Linked DNA regions of Drosophila melanogaster. The protein of the gene in region 1 interacts with the protein of each later gene in a pairwise test. Each region holds a gene or a part of one and is shown on either strand. Other genes may lie near its edges.

Region 1 (17,659 bases):
CAAACTGTAGTGCCACTATGAAAAAAGCCCAACAGCTGCTTCTAAAAAATTTGGCGAAGTTAGTTCAAAGAAAAACGCTCGCTCGCTCAAACGCTCACCTGCATAAACAATAAACAAAAACAAAGTACACGACCCATACAACAAACAATCGAATATAAGGTGGATCTATTTCCACAAGCCCTTAGACAAGCAAAAGACTGAACCCAACAATCATAAAAACACAAAACCCACAAAAAACGAAGCTTCTGCCGTTACTCTTAGATCAGTTAGTACGTTACTTGTAGATGAGTTTGTTCGAGCCAACTACAAAACGAAAATCGCTTCAGTTGTGTTCTAGATACACCATATGATTGTTATATACCAAATATATACATACCTAGACTCGTTCCGAAATCTGGTTCCAAGTTTCCAAGTCGTGGTAAGTCTGAATGTGAGGGAGGGTGTCCTGATAAACATAGGTAATACTTGAGAATCTCACAACAATGGCAACGGATAATGATTTGTTATGAGTTCCTTGTGTGTAATACTTTTACGTATTTATTACTCTTAAGTTTGTGTTAACGTGTAAGTTTATGATTGAGTTATTGTTTTATGTTTTATGTGATTTCGATCGAAACTTCCTTGAACGTAAGTAAACGAAAGGATGTAGAGCTGCACTCGCCTGTCGTAGTAATAGTGGCACGCTTAAATGTCCTGCATGTTCCGATATGTATGTCCTGTATTTAGACCGCATGTTCAACTAGCACTAACAATAACTTTGCTTTTCACATCCACATCCAATGCGAAATGTATGAAAGCCAAACAATACAATGAAATTCAAACAATTCTGCGCCATCACGCTTTCTATCGAGTGTAGACTGTACGATTTGCTTTAACGCGCTCTTGAAATTAAAACGAGATTTGCCCAGACACTTTCCACGCTACATAGAGTAATGTCTTAATACCACTAAATCTAAACGATAAACATCCATTTGCTTAAACAATCCATAAAAGAGCTTCAAGGTAAAGTGGCACTAACACCAATCTAATTGACTAACCCCGAGTACGATTTGCTACTCGGATCGAGGACTGAACGGACATTTGCGGTCCTTGGGCAGGGTTTTTGTTTGATTTCCTCCTTAAGTGTTTTGTGTTTGCTTTGAGTGTTATTCTTCCGTTCTATTTTTCTGTGTGCCAACGTTTATGGCTTTATTTCAAGCATTCGTTGATCATTTCTTGAGTACCCCGAACGACCTATCTTACGATAAACAAAAATCCTAGCCAAGCCGCGCATGTTCCTGTTTTCTTCAGTCCGATGCCCGAAACTTTACCGCTAGCCAAACTGTAACGAGAAGTGTCTTGCGTCCTGAAAAACAAAACCAAAACCCACACAAAAGAAAAAGTCTTGCCTGCCTTTGAGAGTTACCTAACGAGATCTGCTTCTTTCTCCCAACTTCCGACTTGGTCCCGCCCATTTAACTAACCCAGGTTGATTTCGATGGCCTACGGACAGATCGGCATGATCCAGGCCGCCGCCGGCTTCTTTGTGTACTTCGTCATCATGGCTGAGAACGGCTTCTTGCCCAAGAAACTGTTTGGCATTCGTAAGATGTGGGACTCAAAGGCTGTTAACGATCTAACTGATTCCTACGGTCAAGAATGGGTAAGTCCAAACTCCAATTCGATCTTAAACACACTTCATATTAACTCTGAATTCGTACTTTAACGATAATGTAAACAGCCAAGGATGAGTTAGATACTAGTGACCAAAACTAACCACAATTGGAGCCATTCTAATTAATTTATCCTATACTCCCATAGACCTACCGCGACCGCAAGACCTTGGAGTATACCTGCCACACGGCCTTCTTCATCTCGATCGTGGTTGTGCAATGGGCCGATCTGATCATCTGCAAGACGCGTCGTAACTCGATCTTCCAGCAGGGCATGCGCAACTGGGCTTTGAACTTTGGCCTCGTCTTTGAAACCGTGCTGGCCGCGTTCCTCTCATACTGCCCGGGCATGGAGAAGGGTCTGCGCATGTACCCCCTGAAGTAAGTGGTCCTTTAAAATTAGAATATATCATTAATTAACCTTGTAAATAACCTTCCTTACGAATACTATAGACTCGTCTGGTGGTTCCCGGCTATTCCATTTGCGCTGGCCATCTTCATCTATGACGAGACCCGTCGTTTCTACTTGCGCCGCAACCCCGGAGGCTGGTTGGAGCAGGAGACCTACTATTAAACACCCACACTGCTACACTCCCACACACACAGCCACATGCCCACACACGAATGCACACCACAACAAGAGCAACCAGGAACACCCGCAAACAACACCTACAAACCATGGAGAGCAACAAATAGAAATGTTTATGAACCACAAAACCCACAAAAGCAACACAACCACAGTAATAGCAACAGCAGCAGCAACGGCAACAACAACAGCAACAGCTACGTCTACAACAAGCTACAGCAAGAACATATTACAATATATTTTATTTTTTTAATTTAATTATTTAAAGTAAACGAGGATAAACAAAAATGCAAGCGATAATTATTTTAAACGTTAAGTAAATTTAAATTATAAATTAAAGCTAAAAATAAGATTTAAATAAAGTATAAATGAAAATAAAACAAACAACAAAAACGAACAACAATTTCGATGAAACACCAATCACATCCAGACAAGAACAACAACAAAATCAACCAGTAACTAAGCAAAACAGTAACAAGAACATGTTTTTAGTAAAATTATTAACGTAACGAGAACTGGATGAGGCGATTTTTATCGCCACAATAACAAGATCCCAGAAAGCTAACACACACACACGCACTCACAAACACACTCACAAATACACACACACACACACCGATACACAACGCATGACGAGACAAAGTATATAAGAAGTTTAGAGAAATTATAAAACGAAGTAAATAAAAAGTAAAATGAGGAAAGAAAACAATGAAAACCCCTAGCGTAGTTACCAAGTAAGCCGTGAAAAGTAAAGCCCAATAAAAACCACAACAACAACAACCAAAACAAAAGAACAGAAATTAATTTGCAAAACTTGAAACTTGTGTGTGTAAACGCAGCTTAGCGCAGAAGAACGAAATATATATATAAACAGAAGAAAAACCACAAGAAATGTGAACACGACGAATATAATTGTTTATATATATACACACATATATTATATGGAAAAAATTTGATTATATAAATGGAGCTATACAACAATACACCAAAAACCAAAATTGAAACCATAACGAAATCGACCGATCTGCACTTGGCACTACGCCGAGTTCCGGATAAAGGTCTCCGAGCAATGTTTGGAGACCTGCCGGTCTAGAATTTGTTAAAATCTAATGAAAAAACCAACTAAATGTTTAATAATAAACCCCCTTAAACCAATTGACATGCAATATTATGCTTTGTGTGCATTTAAGCCCAAAAGAACCGATGCCGAGATTCGGTGGGATTAAGTCCCCCGATGTCGATATCGAGATTCAGATACAGATACCATTACCGATACCTAGGCCCAGAAGGAAAAGATAAAACCAAATAAAACTAAAAACCAAATTCAATACGAAACAAAAGAAAACAAAAGGAAAAAGCGCCCACAAAATAAATGTTTGTAAGTTTTACACGGCACAGCGCCCCAAAATGGGGCAAGCCCAAGGCAGTATTCTGTTTACCTTTTCTTTGATTGTTTTTTATCGCTTTCCCTGCCCACACACGCCCCAAAACAAAAACAAAAAGAAAAACAAATACAAAGAACAAACACAACATGAACGGTTGAGCGGTCAAATTGTTGGTCATTACATTGAAGTTCAACGAATTAAAAAGCTTGGCATTGTCGTTATCAAATGAGTGGGTCTGAAAAAGCGGCTCGGGCTGGCTAATTGAGAATTTCAAGTTGTGAATTGTGAAAAATGGATCAGATAGCGATTATAGGATGTTCAATAAGCTCGGCTAGACCGATAAGATCACACCCACGCAGAGAGATACGCCCAGACATTCGAGTTTAATTCGCTGCTGTTTTCTTTTAGCCAACTGTCTTGTTTTCTAACTTAGTGAAGATGATCATTAGCATTGGGGATAACGATAATTATGGCATGTTAGTTATGAAAGAAAATGAAAACTAAACAAAATTATTATTATTAGTTGTTAACAAATTATATTGAGTAATTAATAATATTGATCGATGGATGCTGATGTGAAAGAGATATGATACTAAACTAAAACGAAGCAAAGCAAAAACCAAACGAGGACAAAAACAAAATATAAATAACTCATAATATGGACTACAAATATTTATAAACAAATGCAGAATTATATAAACGTTCGATGGTCAAAGCAAGAACTTGAAACAAAACAAAAACCACAACAAATTTGTCAACAACACGCAGAAGTAAAAACTTGCATGTAACAACAAAACAATGAGTAAACATTTTTAATTTTTTGTTCTTTCGCCCTCCGCTGTAAATGTATTTGTAGATTTAAACAATGATTAAAATAAAAAACTACATAAATAAAACTTAAAAAACAAATCAAAATCTTTTATTTGCAAAAACATGTGGAAGTGGGGTTTAAAAAAAAAACGTAAAATGAGACTTAAGTTGATTGCAAATGCAAAGAAACGTAATTTGTAAAAAGTGCTTAGATTTGTGATCTGTCATTTTATTTCGTAAATGTCCTATGATTTCATGATTGCTATTATTCATTCATTGAATTGAGTTGTCGTGCCAAATAATCATACACATCCGAAATAAAAATCGCGACAGTTTTATGCCTACACACCAACTGGAAACGAGGCTATAAACATAAATATATTGCTCATACGCCCCGTGTTCACCCCTGCCGAATGAGTTGGGATCCGTAACGAAAACAAACAGAAAGCGGACGAAAAAAAATGGACGCCAAATACAAGGTAGCAAAAGGTTGTGAGCGCACACACTGGCACACATGTTCCTGTACTGTACTGTACTTACAGCAATGGCGTGCAGCGTTTGCTTCTCTTTCGCTACTTTTGCTGCTTTCGCTGCTGCTGTTTCCATTGCTGCGTTTATATGGCCATAAGGCTAACGCTATTGTCGCGGCAGGTCTCTCAGGGGCAACATGGGGAGGTCGTTGCGACAGCGGCAACATTTGGGTCTTATTAATTTCCGTTTTGCTTATTTATTTTTACGACGCCTCGCACAGCTCGCCATTCGGTTCGCAGTTCTGGGCCCGTCAGCAGCCGAACCGCCGAGCCATCCAGGTCCCCAAATTCTAACGCAGTCGCCATAGTCAAAAGAACATTCGTAAGGAATTCCACCTTTAAAGCCCCGGTGATACCCTACGATTATTTAGAGAGGCATATTACACAACCGTAGATGGGGAGTACTAAAATGTTAATTCATTGCTTAATTCGATTGCCTTAATTTGCTGCTTTAGCTTTGATTTAATACATGAATTATAATAATAGAAGAGAAGAAGATTACTTTAAATTAGGAAAACTGATTTATAATTAGAAAAAAAAAACTACAAAATATTATTATTTAACTTTTTAAGTGAAGTTTTTATGGCGCGGTATTAAAATATGTATAGGTATTAAAATAAAATGCATAAGTGACTTGAAAAAGTTCGTAGGCGTGATGCTGCATAGAGAGCCAAGTAAAAAGGCGCAATCAACTAAATCAAAATTATACAGGGGAAAGCCATTTATCCGGTAAAACACATACCAATTAAGTTATTTTTAAAAGCTGACTTCAATGCGATCAAAAGCTTTCTAGCCAATTTGAGTTGGAATTGGCGATGTACTTCTCAAATTTGGTTTTGAATATAAATAAATATATATATTTAAATAAAATGTATATGTTGAGATCAATACTGTACTTCAACGCGTGAATAATATCATATTTTAAGCTTAAGAAATTATAAAACAATACAATTTTCAGAAATAAAAGATTTGGCCACGTGAACCTTTATTGGGTGTTGAAAATTTATATTTTTTTGCACCCCGATCTGCTAGTAATCACTTTCCCTAACGGTGCTTATTGTTAATAGACTATTTTCCAAGCATAGAGTACAGCAACTTGTTTCCAACCGACTTAACAGGGGCGTCAAAAACTTATGCGCTTGCTTGTCTAAGACAGCGGGTGGTAGAGGAGGGGGTGTGGGTGTGGGCTATACTAACCAGCAATGCCTCTACACCACCCTCCCCGCCAAACCTTTACACCCCCTGCGAAATGCGCCACTGCAACGAGAGGAAGATGGGGAACATCGGAGAGCGACAGCGAGAGAGAGCGGCGCAGTTGTTATCGCCTGGCCAGTGTTCCACTGCCACTCTGTTCCTTATCCTGTGCACTTTCTTCCTTATCTGTCCCGCTTTCACCGCCCTCGCACTCGCCACTCTCACTCTTCGTGTGCATTTCGGGTGCCCTTCGTGTCGCGACAATCGGCATTTTTAAAGAGGCAGTCGGCCAATGTGGCAGTCGGTTACTGGCTCGCAGGTTAGTCTTTCATTATCCGGCGTTTGAGCGTGTAACGTTTTCTCCGTGATTTCCACACGCAGCAGCGGTAAATACAACAACAACGACAACGAAAGAAGCAACCAAAACAATAACAACAACAATAGAAGAGAACAGCGGCAAACGGTTTTTCGCTGCGCTTCTCCTATTTTAAGTGCCGAGCGTTTTACTATTTTTACTACACAGCGAAACATACACAGATACACATATATACAGAAATATATGTAGGTATTTGTTGATGTGTTTGTTGTGCTTCAGTCAACAATAAAAACAAAAACAGTGTTTAAAGCTAGTGAAATGATCTTCCATAAATAAATTTTCAAAATTAATTTGAGAGCAAAAATGAATTGAAAGAAAATGCCAAGAAAGTGCAGCAAAAAATCAACAACGATGCTGTCGGAGAGTCGAAACTAGGCTAAATATCTTTGCATACTTTTGGGAAAGTTGTGCGGTACAAACACACACACCCGTTCGTAACACACACACACAGGACCTGCGCCTGCGGTCGCCGACTTTTGAACCTGTTTTCTGACCATTGACCATTGACCACCGACCGCCGTGCCGGCCGCCTCTTTTCACTTTTGGCAACGCGGACTGCAGCAGCCGCTGCAAAAAATGCAACTGTAAAGGAAGCTGCAAGAAAAGGAAAGGATGTGCACGAAAACGGCATAAACCTACAAAACTAGCCAAAAGAGTTCAGAGCGGTGCGGTTCAACAGCCTCCGGGTGTTCGTGTCAAGCTCGAAATTCGCAAATTCGGCGTCAGCTTCGTGCATCTGTATCTGTGTATCTGTATCTATATCTGGTGCATCTGTGTGCGGCCATTCTGCAGTTGCAGCTCTGCAGCGGCGAAAATTGTGTCAGCAGCATCGGCAGCGGATCCTGCAGCTCGCCACACTGGCGCCTCCATCTCCGATTGCCGGTAATGTATTCGTTTTAGGCGCATTCTACCCAAGCACGACTTAATCATACGCCACATGTGAAGTGCCGTGCGGTATGGCTAAGGCATTACGCATACGCCCCGTGTATGTGAGTATGAATAGTGCGGGCGGTCTTACCTTGACAACGGACGGGGGCAGTCCGTGACAATTGTCAGTTTGTTTTCCCATTTTCGTTTTTCTATCGATTAAGCCCACTGGCCCCTCGTTCGCCCTTTGTCTGCGAATTAGCGACAACTTCTGGGCCAAGCAGCATATGGCTATGTCCACCGTCTTTGTCTAACGCCTAATTGAGTCTTTTGTGAGTATCAAGAGACGAGCAGCACCGCAGAAGAAAAGAAAAGCAAATGGGGAATCCAGTTGACATCGGCATAAGTTCGAGTTTTAAGTTCCCTTGTGGACAGCTGGTTTTTGGGCTTTCTCGACTATCACATACCATAACTGCAATGGACTTTTTTTGGATCATTTTTCAAATTCTGGGCGTTACATATTTTCTTGATCATGATCGACTCGGCTTGTGATCCGGAAATGTATTTACTGTAGAGGATATAACTAACTATAAATAAAGCTGTATGGCATCCTAGCTTTGATTCTTACACGCTGTAAGAAACGAATGTCAGTAAGGGATATAATGTTAACATTCCAAAAGGCACGTCTCCCATATGAACATATAAAGTATATTAAGACTCCCAAGAAAAAGTAAAGAACTTCGCCAGAAAACGTTAGGCTTATGATTTCAGATTTCAGAGCATTAAACCACAAATGATTATTTATATGAAGTATATTTTACTGTCCCGCTTAGATGAAATTTTTCGCTTATACTGTAGACAGTGCCTAAAGTATCATGCCATCTGATAGGGTATCCATAGAAAGGAACCAAAGAAAACAATCAACACGGAGACTAGTAAACAATTGAAAAGCAAAAAACCCGCGACTCCTGCCCAAGTCGGCCAGCCCCTTGAGTTCTTTTTTCATTCATAGGACGATGGGTGGTAGCATTTGCCTTTGTCAATATCATTCAAGCTTTCATTCGCTTCACTTGCCTGACATTTGCTTACCATTTCAGTTTAGAGTTCACTTTGTTTCCCTTTGTACAAATAAATAGCCATTTATTCATTCACTCGGTTAAGGGGCTCCTTTTCACTGACCAATGAATGAAGGAAGGTCGTCCCATAAGTATTTGTCAATTGGACACAAGTTACAATGGAACTCAGTTTGGGGCTTTATATCTAATCAAACTAAATGGCAGCCATTAACTAGCTAGCTTAATCAAGTACCCAACATCAGCATGACTCGAAGCACTCAAAATGCTCGATTTTCTGATTCTGATAAGAGGAATACCTCGGGTAATTTAAAATTGAGTATGCAGCATATTCAGCGAAATGCAGAAAATCCAGATGAAACAAGATTTTGGAAAATTCATTTAATTTATGGCTCCGTCAATTAAAAGCAACAGACCACACAGCCAAACCGCAGTACAGCTCTCAGATGAAAATTCAGCGCTTTAAAGGCTTAGAGAAAAGTGGCAGGCACTCAAAAGCTTAGGCCTTGCATACGTAGCAGCCGCAAACAGTGGCGAAAAATTCTACTTTTTTCCATTTTCGGTGTGTGGGGCGACCAACTTTTCTAACTAACAAAAAAATAAACCGCGCACATGTGTACACAAAAGAAACTCGACGAAGAAAACTGCAAATATGTAACAAGATTCGGTCATGTTTGATTCATGAAACCAGCAGAAAGTTCCAGCCCCTCACCCAATTGAACAACAATGGTGAAATAAAGTTACAGTTGCTGTGGCCACGGCAACTGGAAGCCAACATTTCGCACAATGGCGCAGAATCAGCAGCTTTAGCAGCTGCCGTGCTTCCGGAAAAAATAGAGCCCCAAAAAGCATACTTTCGAGTGTAGAGTTTATGCAGGATTCCGTTGCAGCAGAGTTAATCATACATACGTCCTGACAGTAACAAATCTCCAGCTACGAGGCATAAATAAAAAAAAATTCACCCAGCTTCGCTTTACATATTTTCCTGTTAGATTTACCGTGTATGTGGGCATCAAATTGCGCATACGCCCAGTAAGCCGTCCAGATGGGCAGATCTGCAGGCAATTTGATTATGGCCAGCGAGGCATAAAGAACGTAGAGAAATGCTGAAATAGGGCTTACTTCTAAGCCAGCCAAGTCGAGCATAAAATGCAAGCAGAGTTTGGTGGAAAAAAGGAAACGCAAAGGACTCGATTGCTCAGTTTCTCGGGAACGGCAATTAAATTGCGATGGCGATGATGGCGGAGCCGGAGAATATGTATAAATTAAAAGAGATAAAAATTCCATAAAGATGACAAAAATCAAAAGGAAAGAGGAAAAGGCGAGGGCCATAAATAAAGGAAAAACATCTGAAAAAGGGACGCGAAAATGGAGACAGAATCACAAAAATGGCGGACAAGGCGCTGACAGGCGAGCCTTAAGTCAGCTTTTGTGGCGAAACAAAAGACGCGCGAAAAGAACAGGATATTGGGATATCTAAATTACCGTTGTCACGCACCTAAGTTCACACACACTGAGTCAGACACACACATACAGAAGACATACAGCAAGCTAACAAACACACTCACAGCACGTACACATCGAAATGTCGGCATTGTGTCAGCACGGAAACCAAAGTGAAAACCTTTCATTTCACTTCTCTCCGCCCATTCAAATGGTCGAGTTCCATTGACTGAGCGAACAAAGGCCAAGGAAATGATAATTTTCCGCTCAACAGACACAGAAATATCTACATGTGTGTGTGTGTGTGTGGATTCGGTTGTCGAAATAAATGGCGAAGAAATGAAATTGAAACGCTTTCAATTAACTCTTCGCATTGGGTAGCACTTAATCCTTGTCACATTAACTGGAGCTCGCACTCTGGTTTCAATTAGGTCGATGTGACGCGTGTTTGAAATATTCATCGAGGGCCCAGCCAGCAAAGGGCATAATCAGGTGCGTTAAGGTAAATAATTTAAAAGTGTGGGGGGCTTCTCTCCACACTGATACATGTCGGATAACACACACGCCAGAGGAATCTTCATCTGCCCTCGTTCGAACTTAATTTCCATTTCAATTTTCTCCATTCACTGAGGACCCTATCTTGGCGTCTCACCCATTCCATCGTTGTGCCCTCTCACTTTACTAGAATTGGGCCAAAACTACACAGACACACTAGGAAAATTTATTTTGTGAATTTTTGTTTAAAGAACATAAATTTAAATTTCTTGTCTGCTTATAGATTATAAGACCTCCGGCCAAAAGTCAACGAACTAAATATTTTAAACCCATTTTAAAATGCGGTTTAAACCCGGTGTTCTTAACTATCCCGGCATTTCTGGAAGTATGAACTATTTAAGTTAAATTGAGCTTACCAAATTGATTTTGCTCAGTATGGCATGTACGTAGTTAGCTAGGGGGCGCCATTTTGGCTCTGTTTGTCGGCTCCCTAATGGATTTCCAAGGCGGAGCATAACAATTTGTTTGTGGGCCGAAACTGTTGCTCCGGCCGGAAAGCTTGCCACATGATTACTACGATGATAACGGCGTCGGTGATGATGATGATTATGGGAATGGGATAATGTGACTTTTCCCAGCGATTTGAAGGCAGCCTGCACCATCGTTGCCTTTTCCATGCCCAAGCAAGCACACAAATTAAATGACAATGGCAATGCTGTACAGTGCTTATCGGCTATGAGGATCAACGGTCCGTCCAGCAAATCAGCATTGAATCATTGGGGTAAACAAAATAAACGAAGAACTAAAATCCCTTGGCAAAATGTTTGCTTTGCTGATTGCCACGACTTAATCAAGCTATCTGCGTCAGCATTTACTAGCACTGGAAGATTGATTGATGCACCGACTGCTTGCTACTTTTTTCCCGCCCGGGGTAACATCTGGTCAACTGGTAAACCATCCATCAGGTATCATCATCATCGCGGATCTGACGAACCTGCTGCTGACACACGGCAAATTGTCGAGTCCAGTCGCAACACTTTGGCGAACACAACTGGCATTCTTGTTTCAGTTAAAGTTTTTCCGAAAGGAGGGAGATTGAGGTTGGGACAACCCCTGCGGAAGCCAATGTTGGGTAGGAAATAGTTTGAGCTAACCACCCACCCACTTGATATGGCAATGGCGAACAACTTTAACAACGCTATCTAAACCAACTTTGGCATGTCAGGGCCTCGATTCCTCCGCATTCGAGTGAAAACTGGTTTGGGGTGGAGCTAAAAAATCAATAGGAGCGCTGCGACATACACACGCATATATTTATACGGCACGCAGCTGCTTTCCCCATTTGCCACTTCCCAACTCCATCTGCTTTCGCTTCAGTCTGTAAATCATGGCCAGCAAGTGATAATATCCTGCCCGAAAACTCGACTTGACTCGATTTGACACTGCCACCGAATACCGCGATTATTCATTTAAAGCGAGCTTATCGCACGGAGAATTATTCTAATTTTGAGAAGCAGTAAAGAAAACTATAGAAGCTATGGAAAGTAGTGCAAACAGTTTACTTGTGCATCCCATATATCTTCCAACTTAATGGGGCTTGTTTTTAGAGCATTGTTAATTATAATTTATGATCGAGTTTTTGTCTGAGACTCGCTATTGTGAAATACAACTGGCATTTACTTTCAGCCAGATGACTTCATGGTTGTTCCGGACTCATGGAAGCCCTATAAGAAAATACTATTACTCAGAGCAAGACGTGACTAATGTGTGTACCAACGTCCTCGAGTTGTTTTCTCCAGTGGTAGAGAGGAGGAAATCCTCTAATGACCTTTTCTGCGTGTATTTCTAATGCACATAAACGTTGGTGGCAGTACATAGCGCAATATGAATGGCAAATGGCATCCACATCCTCTGTGGCATGCTGACATTTAAGGTTGATGTGATTTGAAATCAAATCAATGTCAATGCCAGCCCGCGATGCTGATGCTTTGATATGCGATGCTGGCCTTGATTGCGCTGCCTGATTGCCATTGACCAGTGATGTGAGTCCTTAAAGGCAGATATGGAAGTGCATAATTGACAGACCAGCAGGCATCTATCCGCCGCACACTAGTGCAGCTCCCACACACACGTAAAGTGAGCTCCGAGATTGGAATGTGTAGCCTACTTTCAGGCACGCAGCCTAAAAGCCTGTTTCCGCTGATTCGAGAATTGGCGCCTTGTTGCGTCCGTTCCGCAGTCAAGTGGCAAGCACACGCCCACTCACGCCCAAGCACTTTCGTTCAGACACTCAGGGAATGATCAAAGGATATACACTTATAAAAGTATTATTAAACGAAATCCAAAGAAGTGGAACTAGAATGCTGATTATACTACATTTTTATCAATTCTTCTGCAATATTAGTTAGCCATTAAATAAATTAGTTTAATTGTCAAGTAACCAAAAACTTTTAATGCAGACCCATTTTAAATGATAAATGATATAGTTAAATGTGCCATTAAGCGGTGCTTAAAAAGTCAAACATGATAAATTCGCTAAACGTGCGACTATTTAAATCTTAATCCGGAGATTTATTCTCGGATTTGTGAGCGTACCTTTGCAGAAGTGTGAAACACAGTTATAAATAAATAAGAATGCTCGAAACTCACACAGCCGCGCACATCCTCACAGAAAGAGATATAAAAAAAGGATATTGTTAAATAATAAACAGTTTACGCTCTGACAACAACACAACAGGCGTGAAAATGAAGGGCGGCGGGGCGTGTCCGTTGAACTGTCAACACACAATGATACACATCTGCACATCCACTCACTCACACATCTACAGCAGATAAGGACCCTCACACTCACACCCACACACACACACCACACCGCACCACACTCAACACACAAGTTCTGTGACAAGAAGGCATTTCAAATCGACGATTCGCATAACGACCGTCATCAAACTTGTTGTTATAACGTCGCAGCTACAGCAACAAGGACAATATCAAAATGTCGCCAATAACCGGGGGGTTTACGGTCTAAAATATGCTGACAACGCCAACTGTTCCCACTCGGTCCCGTATTAAACATGTCATTTTACGTCCCAGGACTCGAATATCTAACCGTGAACAGTGAGCACTGAACACCGAAACGTATCAGACGTTCTCTTGTTAGCATAACGAATCTAAATACCTTTGTCACGGAAGCCTGACAAATCTAGTCCGTGAAACAAAGCCCCCACAAAGGATATCTCACAAACTATGGCAAACCTTATCTGCCTGGCAATGAAATCACCAACACTCAGAAGGCTCTTTCTTGTGGAAAGCGATTTATGGCTTAGGTAAAGTGTGCAAAAACATTCACTCGCAGATTTCGCCTGATTTGGGATTACACCAAAAGACTTAAATTCTCGGTGAAAGAGTCAGGCGACTTGTGCGTTTTCATGTTGTAGATATTTTTGGCTTTAGCTAAATATTTAATTCGGTTACTTTCGGTTGGGCCACAGACCTTATCTAAGCCATGAGCACATTTTGTGTCTATGGCATATAGATAGATTGTATCATTAAGACAATGACGCAATAGTAGCTATCAGGCAATACTCAATATGAGCGGATCGTATAACACCGCGAAGCAGAAAGCGCGAATATCAAGATCTAGAGTAGCTATCAGGTATGGTCGCACAAACGTAATTGCCCCGACTTATCGCCAGTGGCTCGGGACCCTCCATTGTATATCTCCCTATCGAGTCTCCGTATCTGAGGCCGCTCCGTGCGTCATGTATATGCACATACATATATGTACATCTATATGTTAGCCAGGGGATAGAAACGGGGCCAGTTGATATCGGCGGCTGCCAAAGTGGCGATTTGATTAGACGACACGCGAATGCTCTGATTTATACTTCACGAAAATCAAATTCGAAACAGAGCTAACGATTTACCCAAGAGTCAAGCACCGAAAGGACCGAAATTGGATCCCCAGGTGAGTGCGTGCCACGCCCATCACTCGACGCCCAGCCACCCACGCATCCCGTTATCTCACCAGTACTGCGCACCTGGCTGAGCGGCAGTCCGGCGGCTCAGTTGCTTGCCAGGAAGCGAACCCACCCGACGGGCGGGAGAAACTATGCATTGTCACGCCTGAGACAAACGGCAGGGCGATCAAGTACAACATCCACTCTTGAGACTGCAGCGTTCAGTTTCCGGTCAAGTCCCACTTCAAGATTCCCCCATCATCCTTATCCCCGCCAGCGCAGAGTATATAGTCAATTCCATCCCGGAGTGAGTATCCCTGGCGACAAATCCCATAGCATTTTACTTTTATTATTCGAGTCGAGTATGAGATGTCTAAGACTATTCACAGTGGCGGTCGAACGACTAGCACTCCAAATATCAAACATTTCGTTTATAGCTATTTTATTGTGAAACCATAAAAGTGAAACTTCTGTGAACCGAATTCTTATACTCGAGTGATATCAAATTGTATAAGTGTTTCTGTATCTACAGAGCAATTGATACCCTAAATATTGGCAAAAAAATGAGTGATTAAATGTGATTAGAACAGTGTTATATTAATAATTACTGATAATGCTTGCACAGTTCCTATTCTAGAAATGTGTTACTTTCTTAATATTTCACTGAAATTTCATATGGAAATATTAACAATATTTTATAAATTCTACATTGGTTTGAAGAAGGCTTTTGTTGACAAACTCGTGCACAATGATATGTTTAGGCCAAAATCCAGGATTTAAAATCGTATAATATATAGGATCCGGTGCCATCACTTTAAACGATGCAATTTTTCGTCTTTGCTTATTATATATTTTTCTGACGATGATGTCATCGGGATTGGGATAAGAGAGTTTGGCCACTATGTAGTGTTTGAGGGCATCTTCAGTAGTTGAGGTTACGAGTCTGGATACGAACACAGCTTTCATTGGAGGTACAGCTTTAAGAATAACCGGATTGGTATGTAGAGGTAGTACCACGGGAGCCGCATTATGATGCCATATTTTCGCTTTTTGCATATTCGTAGAATTGTGTTGAACAATAGATGACTCTGCATCTTCAACTTCTTTGTCATCATTAGTATCTTCAAAAGTGTGTAATGGATTAGAACTTGAATCACTGTCCACAGGGTAAATCGGTTTTTGAGGATCTACTATTAAATAATAAAAAAGATAAATTAGTCGATTAAATAATCGGATAGTTAAGATCTGGATCTTACGAGACGTAATATGCGATTCTAGCTTCGCCAACTTTTCATAGACGGCTCGAACTTCCCTAAAGAGTTCAGTTATTTCCGTACGCGTTTGCTTCATAAATCTTCCCATCTGAGATTTGACAACTCTGCAGGTTTCACAGGTCCATTTGAGTCCAGTTCTTCCTTCAATCATTTCCACTACACTATCAGTTATGCCCGCGCACTTCGCGTGAGCATATTCGTCACACAACCAGCACCTAACATGCTCATCATTGGAAATCGAATTATTGAATTCGCACCCTTCCATACAGCAGATCAACATTTCCAAAATTATGTTGGCAAGTGTACAAAGCAAGCAAACAAATGAGTAATATCACCAGTCGGCGGGTTGGGTCCACAATAAGTGGAAGAGATAACTGTGCACGACACTCCAAAACTTTAATAATTTTTTTTAGTACAACAATCTTTTTATTCAAACAATAATCACACCAACATCGTATGCCTTTGTATGAAAAAAATACAACAAATAAATGCGTTCGAATATAAATTTAAAACCGATCTATTGTATAAATATAAGAAATAACGGTAACGTCTAAAAAATCTTTCCGGAGCACTGATAATTGCGTGAATATGTTTCGAGGTTCAAGTGACGAATGACGACTTATTCTTTTTTGTCAATATTGGGGAAACAGACCCCCAAACTGCCAACTTAATCGCTAAACCAAGTTCTCGTTACTTTAACAATATAAGTTGAATGACACTTTACCAGTACGAAAAAAAAAGATTTGAGAATTAAAGCTGTAACTCGTTTAAACTAGTACCGAAAGGCATATACATTGGGATTACGATAAGATTGTGTTGTGAAAATCAAACAAATGTCATATCACAAGCATAGAATACTAAATATTAATTATTTCAATTCGTACCGAAAAATATCACCTGGTGTACTAGTATTTTGGTCGTATGCGTACATTCATGACGCTTTGTGGGAAAATAAATGAAATGCCCACGAAAAGGCGCTTAGCTGGGAAACGGAAAATATGCGAATGAATTATGTGTGCCCACCTAAGCATATGGTACATATAGTATATCAACATGATTTGCTGTAATCCTCAAATATCTGCCCGGCATATTGCGTTTGGGGGTCTCTACCATCGCATCGTCTTTTGTTCGCGAGGAAAGTGTTTTTGAAATGAAGAGCCACACGGCCAACAAAATTAGCACAACATTTGCATGGCTACCAAATGATTGCCTGCATTTTGTAAAACTTAGCTGAATACCACAGACAATAACAACAAGCCAATGAACAAATAGCAATACGAAATTATAGGGCAGAGAGTGAAAGGTGGAGGGAAATCAAATGACAGAGAGCTCGAAACGCAAGCGAGTGGTTAATAATAAAAAGGGGAATCATCACACGCATAAGGTTATATCAGCATTTAAATACTAAACAGCAATTCGTTTGTTGAAGGCTGTTTAAATTTGGATTTACTATAGTCCCGCATTAAATGAGATTTATTACTAGAATTTATGTACTGCTCTATTTGGAGCATTAGATAAGATCGACTTTTTTTTTTTATCTCTGTGAGTAATTACGAAATGCGAGACTATTCCTATTATAGTTGGGGGAAATAGTACATTACGAATGGTTTGGCATTGAGCAGCAGAGCTGCGGAAATATATTTCCACAATAATTAAAAATACACTTTTATGCTCTTTGAAGAAATCGTATTTCCCCGTTAGTTAATATCAATCAGATTTCAACGCTACAGCTGGTTCGATAGCTTTTTTCGACCCAATCCGACCCGACCCCCTGTTTTTTTTTTGCCATATTTTCCGTGTCTGAGTTCGCCCGATTTCCCAACGCATGTAGGTGGGATGGGGGAAAGCGAAAAAAAGCCGAGCAGAGAACAAAAGCAAATCCGTGCCCACGAAATAATTATGAACTGGGGGACACAGAGACATCAACATGACAGAGAAATACCGACGGATGAAGGGAGAACAGAGAGGCAGACAGACAGGTGGTAATATGGGGATTCTGGCTGTGGATTTAGTTG
Region 2 (15,706 bases), on another chromosome or scaffold:
AGTTTTCGATTGCTCCTATTTATTTTCTATCTGCATCGGATTAAAGTCGTACTTTTTCTTGTGCATTCCACAGCCCAGGAATCATTCGTAAAATTGAAATTCTAAAGACCTCGTTCGAATTGTATTTATTGTGTGCCCAGCGAAGGGAGTCAAAATATTTTGAAAAGCCTGTACACAATAATATTTCAGTGGGGGCTTTTGCGGCACTCGGAAAACATCTTTCTGAAAGCGGGCAGGGAGCTTGGTGGCTGGGTATTCCCACTGGGCTCCACTGGTGGATAGATGTGGTGGAGCCTGCGGCGATACAATCAAATACCCGACCATTCTTGAAAACACACTGGCGGAAGAATGGAAACACAGCTGCACCAGGAACAGAGTTTCCAATCGGGTGCAGACACTTTGTTTACAAGAACAGCAATCGGATTTGTTTGCCCACGCGGACCGACGTGTTCCGTCTGAAATTGGATAAATACGTGGAAAATGAGACGGCGAGCTGTCTTTCTGTATTTCGATGGGGTCTCTAGAAATTACTATGAATAAGTAATGGCGGATGCGGACAACAGGTGGCAAAGAATCCACAAGGTCCCGCCAGAGAAAAGGAATCCGAGTCCAGCCACATTGCCATCTCGATTGTAATGTAAAACAAAACGCTCGCATCCTGCGCTTTTTCATTTTCCCGCGTTTTCCACCCACCAGACATTCTCATTATACGGTCCGCCAGTTTAAAACTCAATAAAAGCTGCAGTATGAATGATTACTTAATGAAATTAAGTGTGAAAAGTGCGAGAAACAGGGTGGTGGCGCCATGGAGAAAAGCGGAAAAGGCGCTCTTCTCCACTCGAAGGAAAAAGGCGTCGAGTGGCGTGGAAAACTGAAAATGAAAGCGCCAGGGCGGCAGTAAATAATAATAAAGGCATGACTTATTGGAGATGCCAGCGGCAAAGGATCGGGAACAGGAACAGTAACAGGACGCGGCTCCTCCTGCAAATTCACGAATCCCTGCCCACGCCTCGGCTCAACGTAATTCCCATTATCGGCTTAGCAGGTTGTGCCGCCAAGTGGATTTTTATTGCGAAGTCCAGCGAACTTAAGGAGCACGCACACAGGGATGAAATATAATCTAACTCAACGTTTGGAGTGTAGATCCTTAATCCTTGTGCACTTGATGCCAATTCTCGAGTAGTAGAGGATCCTAATTATATTTAGACCGTGCAACAGAACTTTCCAACCATTTTCTCGCAGTGTCTGACAACACTAAGCGGATGAATAGGCCGCTTAAAGCTGCTTCACTTCCGAACTCCCAGGTGATTACCACTATTAACGGCAAGTACGCTTTGCTTTTCGAATGACTGCTTGATATGGCCAGCGTGGACCGAATGGTGTGAAGTGTTTAGGGCAGAGAGAGTGCACCCATGTGTTAGTGGTCGCTGGCCATATCAACGCATTGGGGAAACTGTTTAATTGCAACAACAGACCAAACCAACATTTGTGTGCTTTGTTCGTGTGGAGTTAAAAATTCGGGACATTCCTTAGCCAGGAGGGCGACTTGCTGACCGAGGATTCGACCTTTATTGGCGGGGACTCTGCTGATTCGGGCGGCATCAGGGCCTTCTTGTGCAACTGGAAGCCATAGATACTGGAAGTGCAAGTGCTTTGTGTAGAAAAGAACAAGGATTATATTCGAAGAATTACTCACCGGGGGATGTACTTCTCCACGGGCGGAGAGGGTATCAAGCTTGGCAGCTGCATAAAGAACATATGCGGGAAGCTGGTCCCGAACATGGCTCCGTCCAGCATTCCATTGTGGGGTAGCGGGATGTAGACGTTGTTACAGCTAGGGCAATAGATCTTAACTTGGGCCTTGTCCCACACGTCGTGAAGGCCCACTGGCAGGACTTTCTGCCTCTTACAAAAGACTCTCGGACACGATCCGAAGTCCCCCCTTTCGTACTTTAATCGCATATCTTCAATGCCACGCGGCGAAACGATGTACCGTGCATGGATCATGCCATACAGCTTCTTCTCTTCGGCGCAGTCCCAGTCCTCGTTGTCGAACTCCGGATCTAAGACTACCTCCAGTGTCTGGCTATCGAACTCCAGGCCCGTCAGATTGAACTTGTCCTGGATGTATTCATTGGGCACCCGGCAGGAGAATTCGTGGCCCTTGATTCCCAGGAACCAATCGATCCAACTGCCATCTGGTATCTCGATGCTCCTGCTAAAAGATTTTGGTGTAATTTGCTATGATTTTTATAGGAAAAACCTAGTTACTTACGGACACGACATGCTCACTCGAATAAAATATAATGAAAAAGTACAGTGCAAAATGACGAGACCTACTATTTCATAATGACAGACAGCTCAGTGACAACAATTCAAATGTCAGGGCTGCGACAGGGCAGCAGTGTTCCAAACCCTTTATCGCCCGAGGACTCGATGCCCTTCACAAAGACCTCAAACTCGTCAAATCGGCAAGGCTAGCCAGAAGCCTGGCTTTCTTGGAAGCCTAGGCCGCAAAACACGTCTGTAATGACCAGAACGTAGTCCTGATGCTCCAGTTGCTCAAGGGGAAACGAAGGGTGCGGTGCTCCACTATTGACATCATTGATGCTGCCCTGATGAACCCTTCAGGCAGGTCATACCCTTATAACAGCATACACCTTAACCCATGAAACCCACTTTCGGTTGAAGCACTTGATTTCAGGAAATGAGTGGGACTCAACTTTGAACGGCCAATATGACAGCCTGGGGAGCCCAGTGTAGGTGGAGCAGGAAATCGCAAATGGAACTCACGGCGAAAAAATCGACAGTACTTCTGCAATGGGAAAAGACCTGCTTTAATGTAAAGATGCCTTCAGAAAACAATGTTCTTTACATCAGGATCAAGGAGCATTCCTTGGCATCTAGGAATTTATTAACCCAATCAAGAGAAACCATCTCGATTGACAAACATTTTCTGCATGTGTGCGCGCACTTTCTTATTTTTCCTCTACAAATTCAATTCGCATTTTCACTTAAAACTTTTTAACTTGGTTGGCCTGAAAGGAGCGTACGCGTCTACGCCGGAGAGGGATATAAAGTAAACAAATACGCCCTGGAGACAAATTAAGTGATTTGCCCGCTTTACACATTTTTCCTGCTGATTACTTTTCTCCAACTCCCCGGCCGAAATTGAATTGCCCAGAAAAAGAGAGCACGACCGGTTATCAACTTTTGATTGGTCATGAAAATGGCCAGGGGCCATGGCGAACAGAATGGATCAGGGTGGCCGGCCAAAACTAGGGAGCACGGGGCCGCCGACTGGCCTCGGCCTCGTCTTCAATTTCCCTGCGAACGGTTCGCTCCAGATCGGCCAGGACCTGGTGATCAATCATACGCAGTGGCTGGCGGTACTTGAGCACAGCCACCTCCATTTGGGTGTGGTTGAGCGAGGACACGCTGACCAGGGTGCGGACTATGTGCTTGATGGCCGCTGCCTCGTCGGCGATGGTCAGAATCTCGTCCGCGTGCTTCTCCATGTAATCGCGGACCGGCTGGCTTGAGCGGCCGGTGGTGTTGGCCCTCCACTCGTAGAAGATGCCCGAGGGATCCGTTTGGAACAGGTGCGGAGTGCCATCCTCGTCGAAGCCCCCAACCAGACAGGACAATCCAAATGGACGCCTCCCATTGCTCTGCGTGTAGTTCTGTTTCAGCTGGGCTATGTATCTGCATGGGAAGCGGAAAGGACATAAAAGGTAAATCCAAATTTGCCTAGGGGGATGCACTGAGAGAACAGTTCTTAACTTTTTCGAAAGGGCAGGAAAAAGTATGCATGAGTATTTTGTGGTTTGCAACTCAGCTCATTCACTGCATACTTTTCCCTGTGTAGGCAGTGCTCTTCCTCACCGGGTTATGTACTCCACGGTCGTGGGCTTCTCGAAATTCAGACGATGGCTCTGGGCCTCCATTTGGGCGCGGCTTACCAGGATCCGTGCGTCCGCGGTGAGACCCGAAAAAGTCATCACCACGTGGTCGTCGAGCATGCAAATCTTGCGCACCATGCGCTCCTCCTGCAAGTCGCCCACGGAGCGCTTCTCCACGCCGATTACAATGGCGTTGTTGGTGCGCAGACCCATCTTTGGTTAGTATTTGGAGGATTAACTAATAGGCAAGTGCGGGTGGCCTCCAGGTAGGACTTACCACAGTGGAACCCCTTCGGACGGCCTCCTGGGCGTACTCCACCTGCAGCAGGTGACCGTCGGGTGAGTAAATGGTCACCGCGCGATCGTATCGCTGAGCCATTGAAGTGGGGCTACTTATTTGAAATACTATGGAGTGTACTTTGTGTATAAGATCGAAATTTTAGTATCTGTGCTACTTCTAAACGCCTGCTAGGTGCGTACTGGAAATCCACTTTTAATCAATTTTATGAAAACATAATTACCCCTTTTGAAGACATATTGTTTTAATTGCATTTTTTCTTCAATTCGTTTATCATAAAATGTACTTTTTACTAGCTTTTATTTATATTTTATGTTTTCTATTAGTGTCCTCTCAAACTGTTATGCAATTAAATCATTTTTTTAATAATGAGGTAATCCGCTACAAAGGCAAATCTACATAATCGAATCCATAGGCGAATTAACAATTATCGTGTTAATCGGATTATCGTTGTCACAACAAATTGGGGCAATTACATTAAAACTGTTTCAGCCGCATTTTGCGAATATTTCAATTTGTCGGCCTACCTTATCCCCCAGTACGATTTTCCAGCAAGACCCTACTTGAGGAGGTCCTGTGTCCTTGGCATCTGCTCCCCGCCTGAAATGCTGACAACAAAATCGCAAAGTGCAACAAAAGCGCAAATCTCTGGCGAATGTAATCGTAATCGAAACAGCTTCATTTTGCTAATGTGCCTGGCCAACCGGTGAAGGACTCCGCCGGAGAGTCGTCCTTTTGCGACTATACGGAGCGCGGAGCACGGAGTCCTGCGTCCTGATGCGGTGCTTAGTATGCCGGCAGCGCGCAGGTTGGCATAAATTTATATTTAACATTTTATGACAGCCGTGCGCCCGCGGAGGAGGAGTGGGGACAAAAGAGGTCCTTTAGGTGTAGCGCATACTCACCAGGATTAGGCACGTTCCAGCCGAATATAGCCAATTCCCAAAAACAAACGTTGCCAAAAGTGCCGCTGCCGAATAAATAAATTAGGCAGAACTGCAAACAAACGACCAGCAAATAGAATCACAAAAATGCAATTATTTTACCAATTTACACACGTTGTCGCCCATGCAAAGGTTCGCAGTTCGGAAATATGTTTTATGCATTGATGGCCACGCGTTTTGTTTAAAATTTTATTACCCTCGCCGCGGGCCAAGCGCTAAATGAATTAATAAGGCCATTTATCAAAATTGACAATCAAAATGCATTAGCCGGCGCCAAGCGCGAAAGCATTCACAATCCGTGTTTTCCAAAGTTACGAGTTAACGATTCAAGCGCGGAAAACTTCAGGACCCATTTGAATACAGAACACGAATTCGTCACTTGAATAGTTAAATATTTTCGAGATTTATGGTTATAGAGGTATATATATGTAGGTATATCGCTTGGCCACCATTCTGTCTTTCAACAATGAAAACAGGAATATCTCTTTGTTTTTACGATAGAGCGAACTAATTTCATTTTTTTTTTTTTCAATAACTAAATACACACTTATAATGTGCAAAGTCCCCCATTAACAGTTAAGCTCTTGTTCAACTTGTTAATTAAATAAGAATTTTCGATGCTAAGACCATGGCTTCATTAGCACTCAGGAATGTTTTGGCCCCAGGCAATGTGCGTAAATTAAGTATACGCCGTGTTTTCGGAGCGTGCCCCTGCCGCTTGGCACTTGATTAAGCACTTTTGCCCCATAAATAGTGAGCATTGCCAATCGAAGGGAGAATTGCCCCTGAGACAATCGAGTAGTGGAGTGGGTTTCCTTTTCGGGGGCTGGGATGGGATTGAGTCGAGCCATAAGCGGAAAGGCGGAAAAGCGGGAAAGCAGACGAGACAGCCACATAAAAGCAGGCAACAACATGTGCTAAAAACAGCAAGAAGTTTGGCGGGCAAAGCCGAGGGAACTTGCCACGATTTGTTTGCTCCCAGCTTAATTTGTAGCGTCAAATGGTGTTGATTGTTGTTTTTCTTGCCTCTAACCCAGCAGCAGCCAGGACTCAGCACCGAAACCCCAAAACCCACTTAAACCCCCGTCGCCGTCCAAACTAAAGACCCAATAAAAGTTAAGGACGCTGTTGCGGATAAACAAGGTTTGGAGCACAGTTTCAAGTGCTTTCATTGTTCTCGAGCTCCCACCACTCCGATGTGTGGAAATTAATGACGAGCGATTTGAACACGACGGGATTGGCATTGGGATAGGGATTGGGATTGGGAGTGGAACTGGGAATGGGAATGCGATCGAGATGGAATGGGTCGGTGGTAATGTGTTTACATGGTGAAAATGTTGGCAGACCTCGAACGCCTGTGGCATGTGGCATGCGAAAAAAGCATATTTCAGCAAGTTGACAATTAATCATTGTGTAAATATACAAAATATATGATTTTCATTACTGTTCCAGACGAATTCCTTCTACAGTTTATTTCCGTCTTTATTATTTTCCTATCTTATCCATTTAATGGTGAAATATTGATATAAAATTAGGTAGAGACAAAAATTCCATTTATTAAATATCCCTCTGTTAAGGAGCATTTTTATTAGAAAAGGTACTTCAATGGCTTTAAACTGGCTTTGGGAGCTGCCGAGGTCTTTGTATATGTTTCTGCCTCCCCTTCAATCTCGGCCATTTAATCAGCTTGTATTTGTATCCATCGCCCCTCCCCCACAGACGTCGAACGTTTGTATTTGTTTGGTTGGCCAGGACAAGCTGACGATGGCAAAATGCAAATGACCTTTGACCATTGCCGGCAGACTGCTTCCGAGTCGGAAAACTAGAGGCTCCTGGTTCCCACGGCTGCGTCTGTACATATCTCTATATTACGTATATGTAGCGTTGCGTGTGTCTCAACTAAGTAAACACAGCGCGGGGTGTTTTGAGCGGGGTGCTCAGGCATTCACCTGAGCCCTTTTTAATAAACCTAGCAATGCACACGCCATTGTTGACATAGTCCTTCCAGGGAATCATGCGCGACCTGCTGCTGCTGCTCATCCCCTGCTGCTTCTGCTTATGGAAATGTAGATGTTGTGAGTGCCTGGCCCCAAAGTGCCATTTTGCGTCAACGAACTTTGGCCTGGTGCACGGCATCCGCCACTCAGGTCTCGGATATCAGGTCGTTTGCTCCAGCCTGCGATAATATCCTCATCTTCTCGGCAGCCAAAGAAGATTCCGCCGAAATTTTAAAGATTCGCCAAATTATAAGGCAACCAAATCTTAATTGAGTGGTCTTCGGTAAGTTTTATCCTATGGTTTCCGGTTATCCTCCGGATGGAGCTCAAAGTGCAGAGCATTCCGAAGAGCTCATATTACTTGAGGGGCAATCGCTTATCCACAGCGCTCCGTTTAATTACAAACGAGATGTTGCCGTGCTGCGAATTACGTGGGTTGGTTTAGGACTGGCAATAATGCAATTTAGAAGTTTAAGCCCGCCCGCCGCCAATTGCAATTCCATTTCCAAGTTGCGAGTTTCGAGTTCCGAGTTCCTCCCACGCAACCGCGAATAAAGTGCAACCAATTGCAGCAAAGTGCAACTGCAGCTCCATCAGTCAGCGGAGCGGCCCCCGATTTCCCGCCTTTCCGCATTTGCCGACTTACTGAAAGCCAAATGGCGACAAATGCCGCGCGAATTAAGGAGGGCAGGGAAAGGTATTGATGGGAAATCGAGAAAAATGCAGCACGCGAAGGAAAATGGAAATGGAAGAGAGTCAAGTGGAGTGGAGTGGGTTTCCACTAATGGTCAGCGAGCTGGAGGAAGGAGCGAGTGCTTCAGCTGTCGCGCACTTTCGTCTTATTAAAGTTGCAAGTCGTTCAATTTTTCAGTTCCGAGGGGATTGCACTGACACCACGCCCATCTATCATATCGCATTGGGCGGAATCGATCTGCGATACTGTATCAAACGTCACATAGAACTCGCAATCGCAGCGAAAGTATCGAGTTTCGGTGATATATTGCGATGCCCACAGATAGCAAAGCTGGGACCGGAAACAAAACCCAACGTGCGGCTAATTTATGCAGTCTTCCTGGATTCCTGGATTCCTGGAGGCAAGTTCAGGTGGCAAGGAGGTGCACAAACAAAGCCAAGTCCCGAAAAACTACCAAAACACCTTTAACGAACCCTTCGAATGAGCAGGTGGGAGTGACTCGGAAATAAACAAGCCAATTGGAACGGCTCCAAATCAATGCTCCACCACATATATCCTGGGCGTCGCAGGAGGGAGGGATGGGAATGGAAGGGAGTGGAAGGGAACGACCTGTCGATTTCTTTGGGCTTATGGAGTTTCCTGCTGCAACTGCACCACGACACACGACCCCATGCATATAAACATTTCACAGTGTGGCGACATATCTGAGATATTTTTATGGCCACCGTGTGGGACACGCTTCCTTTTGGGCCGGGCTAAAAATACACGGAAGCGCGCGAGAGATGTGTCTGTGGAGCGCTCTTATCTGTGTATAATCCACCTTATATGTTCTCACCACCACCACACAAATTGAAAATAAACACAAATTCGGGTTACGAGGGAACCGAAAATCCAGTTGCAGATTACCATTTATTGGGAATTAAAGCTGGCATTTATAGAACGTGCTTCAGCACAAACTCACGCTGGCCATTCGGAAATATTAGTTACATTTGATACGGTACTTTTTTCTGCGGTTCAGCAGATAAAATAAACTTAAAATTCGCCATGAAAACATTTAAGAGGTTTCCGACCACAAAAGTAAAAGGCCGAAAGTTGTTGCCCTGTCAGCCGGTCTATCCCTTTTCCATCAAAGTCAAAAAATGTGTCTTTGGTGTACAACACAAGCTTATATCCCACAATAAACACAATAAACAATTAGCGTCCAAATTTTAAAGTAAAGTTATGCAGCGACTAGCTTCAGTTAATTCAAGAAATATAAGGCCATCTATTTCCGCGTTGCACACGGAGAAGCCCCACAATGTGGCCAAGACTTCTCCAGCTTCTTCTAATCTATCAGATCATACAATTCCCGAGAAGACAGCGCAGAAATCGGAATCGAAACCGAAAACGAAATCAACTCAAAATCAAAGTGCAGGACTAGCGAGTGCTAGGTCACAACTGGTGATAAAGTCCAGTGTGGGTGCTACTCCCAGGCCAGGATCAACGCCAGGCTCTGGAGCCACTAGGAACACTGCCTCCAGTAGGACCCAGCACTTTTGCATTCCCGTGCGGAGCTGTTATACTGTGACCAGCCGCACTCGCCGCTCCTCCGAGCACGCGGCCTTCCTGTACCATCTGTCCCAGTTGGAGCAGACCGGATTTGGCAAGAGCGCGGTGGATCCCATGAAGGCCGTGCCGGCGGCTGAGCTGCAACTGCTGCAGAGTGGCCAGAGGACCACCTACCTGGAGCGGCGGTACGAACGCAGCCCAGACGACAAGTACAACTATCCGGAGGCCACCAGCTGGCGATATGGGTGGTTCCACCGCGAGTCAGATCTCCTGCAGAAGCGCGTGCCCAGGCGAGATTAGAACAGCATTTCGTCCTGTCCTGCCCAATTTCAATGAAATGCTTCTATCCACAGAGGCCTCTAAAATATTCGGATTAGAATGCGTACCTCTTGCTTTTCAATATAAATAAAAAAAAATTTACAATAAAGTTTTTAGTTATATCCCAACTGAATATTCGGCGTTCCTGCAAAAACTAATAAAACGTAAAAGGGAAGGGCCAGCCAGTTTAGATCAGAATAATTCAGTTGGGCTTGATTTGGCCCAAGGGCGATATTAAAACTTTATTAAATGAAAGAATGTCCAAACCTGGCAAGGCGAAATAACTCTATCAAATATGGTTGCATGCAATCCATCCGGCAAACGCATCTGGTGTGCGCCTCGACGAGCTCATCCCGGGCTATGTGTGGAGCAGATGCCAAGAGCCAAGAGCAAAGAGCTCCACTGACAGCGCCACTTTCCGACAGGCCGACCTTTGTTGTTTTGGCGCTTTCGAAAGTGCAGCAGTTTTCAAGTTGGACGGAAAATGAAATCCAGCAAGGACAATTGCATTAGTCTGCCGCTCGCATGACGTACAACGGGGCGTATGCTTGTTGTCTGACATTCAAAGTGGGCCAAAGTTGGGCAACTTCTCGCAGCGGAACTCGTTGCGGCTGCCTCTCTTTTGATTGACTCATGAAAGTCGGCAACTTTTTAATTGTTTTGTAACATTTCTTCAAATAATTTTGCAATTTTTCCGCCAACCCGCCACTGGAATGAGCATTCTCCGAGCGTTGGCTCTAAAACTTACTAACTTCGTTCCATGGCGCAATGCTTTAAGTTCACCCGGTTCGCTTGTCCTGTGTCCTCTGTCCTCTGTCGCTGATTGTCTGCACTTCAGACCATTCATGGCAGATTTCGAGTTTCATTGTTGCATCCGAAGCACTTTGAGCTGCGCAAACTTTCGCCGACCAAGACGCTCTGCCAACTTTCCCGTCCTGCCCATCCAGCATATTCCGACCAGCGACCGACCCCTCCGGATCACCGGCTCCTCGGATCCTCTGGTCTGTCTGCGGTTCCTGGTTGTTGGGCTGTTGGGTTGTTCGGTGGTTGGATGGTTGGATGGTCGGGCTTGCCTGATTGCAAACAACAGTTCCCTCCCAGCGGAACTGAAGTTTATTATTATTTGGCTTGTTTCGCGTTTTGTCGGTTCTATTTACCTTTAAATAAATTTCCGCTGTATTCTTTTCCAGCGCTTTGCGTCTATTTGTTTTCGATTTCGCTGCTGGTCGAAAGTTTCGCATGTTTACGCACAAACTGGGATTGATTAATGCTGGGGCATACACAAGTTACTAATCCTACGCAGGGCCATATTTAATTTATTTGGCCGAAAAGAGGCCAACATAGCTGGGAGCCGAATGCTTTACGAATACCACACTTTCTTGGCCCTCGCTGAATATGATGGGAATTTATGGGTCAGCGGGCAGGCAAAGATGGAATTTTGGAACATTTTGTGGTAATTTTTATTACTTCAATAGCCCAGGATATGATGCTGAACATGCAGTGCCCCCCCACCCCCCCCCCCCCACCCGCACCCCATCGGACAAAACTAACTTGGCCGTAAAAGTTTGGGTTCTGCGGTTGTCGATTCCGAATCACTGCTGGCCAGTTGGCAAGTCCGGGTTTTTGGGTGCGGTTGTGGAACACCATCCCGCCCTCGAGGAAATAAACAATGCAAAAATATAATTCTGAGCAATCAATGCGGTTCGTAAAAGCAATTGTTCGGTCGGAGTCAGTCATTTAAAGTCCCGAATGGCCATTCAGCAGTAGTTTCTAGGAAATTGGTGATATAGCCGTTTAGAACTTGTGCATCGGCATTCAAGGCGAGTTCACAGATAATAGGGCACTTTCCGACTCGTTTTCCCGTAATTACAGTTCGTCTTTTGTTTTTATACTAACTTTTATTGCGAAACACTTTTACAAATTCAGTTTGCTAAGTCAAGCACACACATTATTGTTTAGATCTATCACGTGGTTTTAATTATTCTCCAATGTCTCGCCACCTTTCGGTATTACCTGAAAACCGGTCGGGCGAATCAACTTGCTTGATAGATATACGTACGTATTAATAGATGAATAAGTCGTAAATTAACATTTCGCCTAATGATCACAATCGCTTCGCAAATTTGGGCCAAATAAAAAGGAGCTACAAACAACTTGCTTCGAATGGGTTTTATGTAAAACTAGGTCGTTGGAAATCAAGATATATGTGTAAAGTGTACATTCTTATGTATTTCTAGTAGTTTCTGATTTGTGCCTTACTTAAAGAAGATACCGTACTACAGCCACGCGTTAAGTATAGCAAACTCTCCTCATCCTGCTACGTTTATGTTAAATGGTAACAGTTAATTCATTGCATAGTCGGAACAATATGGGACACACGAGCAACACCGCCACCGCCCCTACTCCAACACATCACTTCGGCTTAGGTTCACGCTTAAGAGTTGTCTCAGCATCTCCCTTCTTGGACCGTCTGACTGGTCAGAGCAGTTTCTTGGCCGTTATCGTCGTGGACAGGGTCGACGCAGTGGCCGTTGCTTTTTTTGACGTCGGTGGTTGCGATGGTGTTTGTATCGTGGGGGGCAGACCAATGTCTGTGGAGGGCAGGATCTTTTCCATTTGACGCTCGGCCGCCTCTCGGAGCGCTGATTCCGTCGTTGATCCGGTGGCAATACCGCTACTGCCACTGCTGGGGCCTCCACCTGACAGTCCGGCTGGACCGGACCCTGTAGAAGCCTTTGTCGGGGATTTGGGGTCTGACTTTGGGTCCTTCGCTAAATCGTCCAGGTCCTTTGCGTTGTCCTTCAATGTTTTGGCCGTATCCTTGAATGCGGGCTAAATAAACTGATCTGTTAGAACGCTGACCACTGTATGTCAAAACCAAAGACTTACCTCTGCTTTTAGCTCCTTCGCTTTATCGGGCACAGTTTCCTCCTTATCACGCATCTCGTTGGCAATATCCTGAATCTCCTTGGCGGAATCGTGAATATCATTAACAAGCTTGGACAAGTCCTTATCCGCTTTGTCCACCTCAGACTTCAGTTTCTCAGCCTCTTTCATGCTCTTAGCAATGGCCTTCTCAATCTTCTGCTCTGCCTGCAGTACTTGCTCCTTGTCAAGCAGACTGATGAGTTCCTCAATGGCCTTGTCGCTCAGCTTGATGTTATCACGACCAATGGATTCCAACACCTGTAAGGAACACCAAACCAATTGAGTGTATGTTCAGCCTAAGGAACATGATTTTATTACCTTACGAATATCGTTGACGGTCACCACGCCATCCTTGTCGGCATCAAATTTCTCCAGTACAGCTTCGATGTGCTTAAGTCGTGCCTCATCGCTAGTTTCCTTCAACACCTTGATGTTATTCATTAAATCGTCGATGTGCACGATCTCCTCGTGTCGTCGCCGGGACGCCAACTTGGAAAGTAGCTCGGTAAACTCCTCCAGCTGCTTCTTGTCGATATTCGTGGCCTCGCGGTCGATGCTCTGCACCGCCTTGGTGATCTCGTTCACCGAAATCACACCGTCTTTGTCCGCGTCGAGTTTGACCAGCAGATCCCCGACAACCTTGAATCGCTCTTCATCGGATGCCTCCTTCATTCGCCGGATGGTGGCGACCAGCTCGTCAATGTGCACCATTTGCTGTGGTTCCACAGTGGGACTGGACGCCGCGTAATCAGAGGATTCCGCCTGCTTGATTTGATGCTGCCTGGCCTCTAGGTCGTTAAGCACATTATCGAGTTGGGAAATCATCTTGTTGACCCGATTGTAGAGCAACTTGGCCGCCCGGCTTTCGCGCACAGGCTCCTTGACTACCTGTCGCACCTCGCGTAGCTCCTCCACATCCTCCTTATAGTCGGCCAATTCCTCCTTGAGTTCCTTGATTGTTTCCTTTTCCACCACGAGCTGTTTATCAGATGAGAGTGTCTTTAGGGCCTCAGACAGCAGCTGTACATCGGTAGAGGAAATGCCCTTGTCCGTCTCGGACACCGAGGACTGTTCCTTGTGATCCAGAAGATCCTGGGAACCCGACAACTTCTCAGCAAATACATAAGGAGCGGGAATCTCCTCCTTGATGGCCGATCGTTTTGCGATGGTCTCTTCCCGCTCTTCCTCGCGCTCTTCGCGAATCTTGCGCTCCTCCTCCTTGATGATTTCGATCTTCGTCTTGTTGTCCACCTTGCCCTCACTCTCCCCGATAGCGTGCCGTGTGTGGGCACCCACTGCATCCGGTAGCACACGAATCGTCTCCTTGAGCTTATCGGTGGTGATGCTGTCGTCGGAAATAAGCATGGTTCTTGACAGGAGCAGCAGCGTAGGCGGTACCTGTTCGTTCAGGGAGAGATCTATCCACTCCTTAAGCTGAAAACGAAGACGCTCCTCCGTTAGGCCATATGCCCGCATTCCACGTGCCTTGCACGCCTGTTGCAGCTCTAGAAGGTCCAGGGAGTCGACTCCTTCGCGGGCAATAACGCGGTCATCGGTGGCCAAAGATCTCAGCTTCAGACGCAGCTGGAACCGCAGCAGCGTGGTGGTGCCAATTGTGTTCAGTTCAAGGACGCGACAAAGAGCCGCCAATTGCTCCCGGGACAGTGAATCTAAGGTGATCTCATCGTCGAATCGCTTGGCGAATTTGATGATTTCATCGTTGCTCACTGGTTCAGTGGGATTCCGGATTTTAGTGAAAAAGGCCTCGAACTGCTTGGCCTCTTCGCTGCTGTGTTCCTTGTGCTGGACGGGCATCTGATCTAGGGTCTGCTGCAAGAACTTGGCCACCTCCAGGCGAACGCTAAGTGACTGCCGGAGCTTCTCCTGTCGATCGGTCGAAGTCTGGAACGTGGAGGGCAGCATGCCGGGGAAGAATTTTATGAACAACGGCAGCAGCAGCTCCATGAAGGGCACGATGATGAACACCGAAAAGGGGATCAGACGGAACAAGTCAGAGGTGGTCCGCTGAAGCTGCTTGTTCTCGCGCCGCGTGAGCGTCTTGCCGTTGAGCACTCGCCAAAGGAGCTTAGAGCAAATTGCCACATCGATGAAGAGCAGCCTAAAGCCGTGGTAATAGTGCACCAGCTCATCCCAAATCCGTGTGCGGAGTGGTTTCTTTGGCTTGGCCACCGACTTGTCTGCGGTCTTGGCCAAAGACGTCGTTGAGGCAGTCGCCGACGTGGAGCCCGCGGTCGCACTAGCGTTTTGACCCTTCTCCGAGGAGGCCGTGGCGGTAGCGGCACTGCTGGCACGAACTGCCGCGGCCTGTCCATTGGCCACCTCCTTCATGATCTCCTCCACCTTCTCCTTCTGCTGGTTTTTCAGCTTCTTGACTGTTGCGTCGATCTTTGAGCTGGACGTCTCCAGCAAAGTCCGGCTCGTATGCAGATGCCTAAATCCATAGCCGGAGTAGTCGTATCCATAGTTGGCATGTGGCTGAAACCTTCGGTAAGTGCCAAGCGATCTGCTTAGCTCCAGCACCGAGGTCGAAGCAGATCTTCGCGGTAGTTCATCTTCTTTGGCGGGTTCATCTGTGACGTTCACCGAACTGCATGCGCAACAGTTCGATTTAAGAACTGCAAAAAAAATATTGAAAAATATGTTAAGTAAGAAAAATAATACGAAGTTAGTAAGATAAGTATAGCTATATTTAAAAACTGGAAAGTTCAAGTGATTTCTGTATATCCGATTAAATTACAACAAAGAAATAAAACAATGTAATATTCTCACAAAGGAATCTTTCAGGTCAATAACCTGATTCCATACGATTTCCCGAACAGCCTTTCATGTTTTAATAAAAATAAGAGCAGATGAAGGGCCAAAGGAAAATAAGGAAACAAAGAACGAAAGAAATAACACCTAATGAGTTATTAATCATAGCTACAAAAAATGGGAAAAGTTTGTGGTTGATAAGCGCACTGCCGCTTGACTATAGATTTTGTTGGGATTTTCAGTGAGCTCGATAGTTGATAATAGAAAGGCAAAGATTGCCGACGACAGACCAGATAAATTAGCAC

What was found.
Region 2: the proteins of Calx (region 1) and CG13581 interact in a two-hybrid assay, tested with the Drosophila melanogaster proteins (one large-scale study listed by BioGRID).

The regions. Positions count from the first base shown.
Region 1 is NT_033777.3:20,971,706-20,989,364, forward strand, and holds the start of Calx (Na/Ca-exchange protein), read left to right. Parts: upstream 1-6,477; 5' UTR 6,478-7,415; intron 7,416-14,273; exon of another isoform or gene 14,274-14,378; intron 14,379-14,441; exon of another isoform or gene 14,442-14,677; intron 14,678-14,798; exon of another isoform or gene 14,799-15,054; coding exon of another isoform or gene 15,055-15,560; intron 15,561-15,626; coding exon of another isoform or gene 15,627-15,924; exon of another isoform or gene 15,925-16,231; intron 16,232-17,659. Other genes in the region: Atpalpha (Na pump alpha subunit), read left to right, coding at 1,468-1,642, 1,801-2,033, 2,106-2,226; CG43446 (uncharacterized protein), read right to left, coding at 15,055-15,560, 15,627-15,924. UniProt on the Drosophila melanogaster protein: Na(+)/Ca(2+) antiporter that couples the energy of a Na(+) electrochemical gradient to the movement of Ca(2+) against an electrochemical gradient across a membrane, which contributes to the regulation of cytoplasmic Ca(2+) levels.
Region 2 is NT_033778.4:24,497,907-24,513,612, forward strand, and holds CG13581 (uncharacterized protein), read left to right. Parts: upstream 1-8,963; 5' UTR 8,964-9,056; coding exon 9,057-9,683; 3' UTR 9,684-9,800; downstream 9,801-15,706. Other genes in the region: Ssl (suppressor of Stellate-like), read right to left, coding at 1,510-1,636, 1,697-2,218, 2,276-2,286; Prosalpha4T2 (proteasome alpha4 subunit, Testis-specific 2), read right to left, coding at 3,279-3,705, 3,886-4,115, 4,180-4,281; Letm1 (leucine zipper and EF-hand containing transmembrane protein 1), read right to left, coding at 12,180-12,533, 12,591-12,887, 12,948-15,265.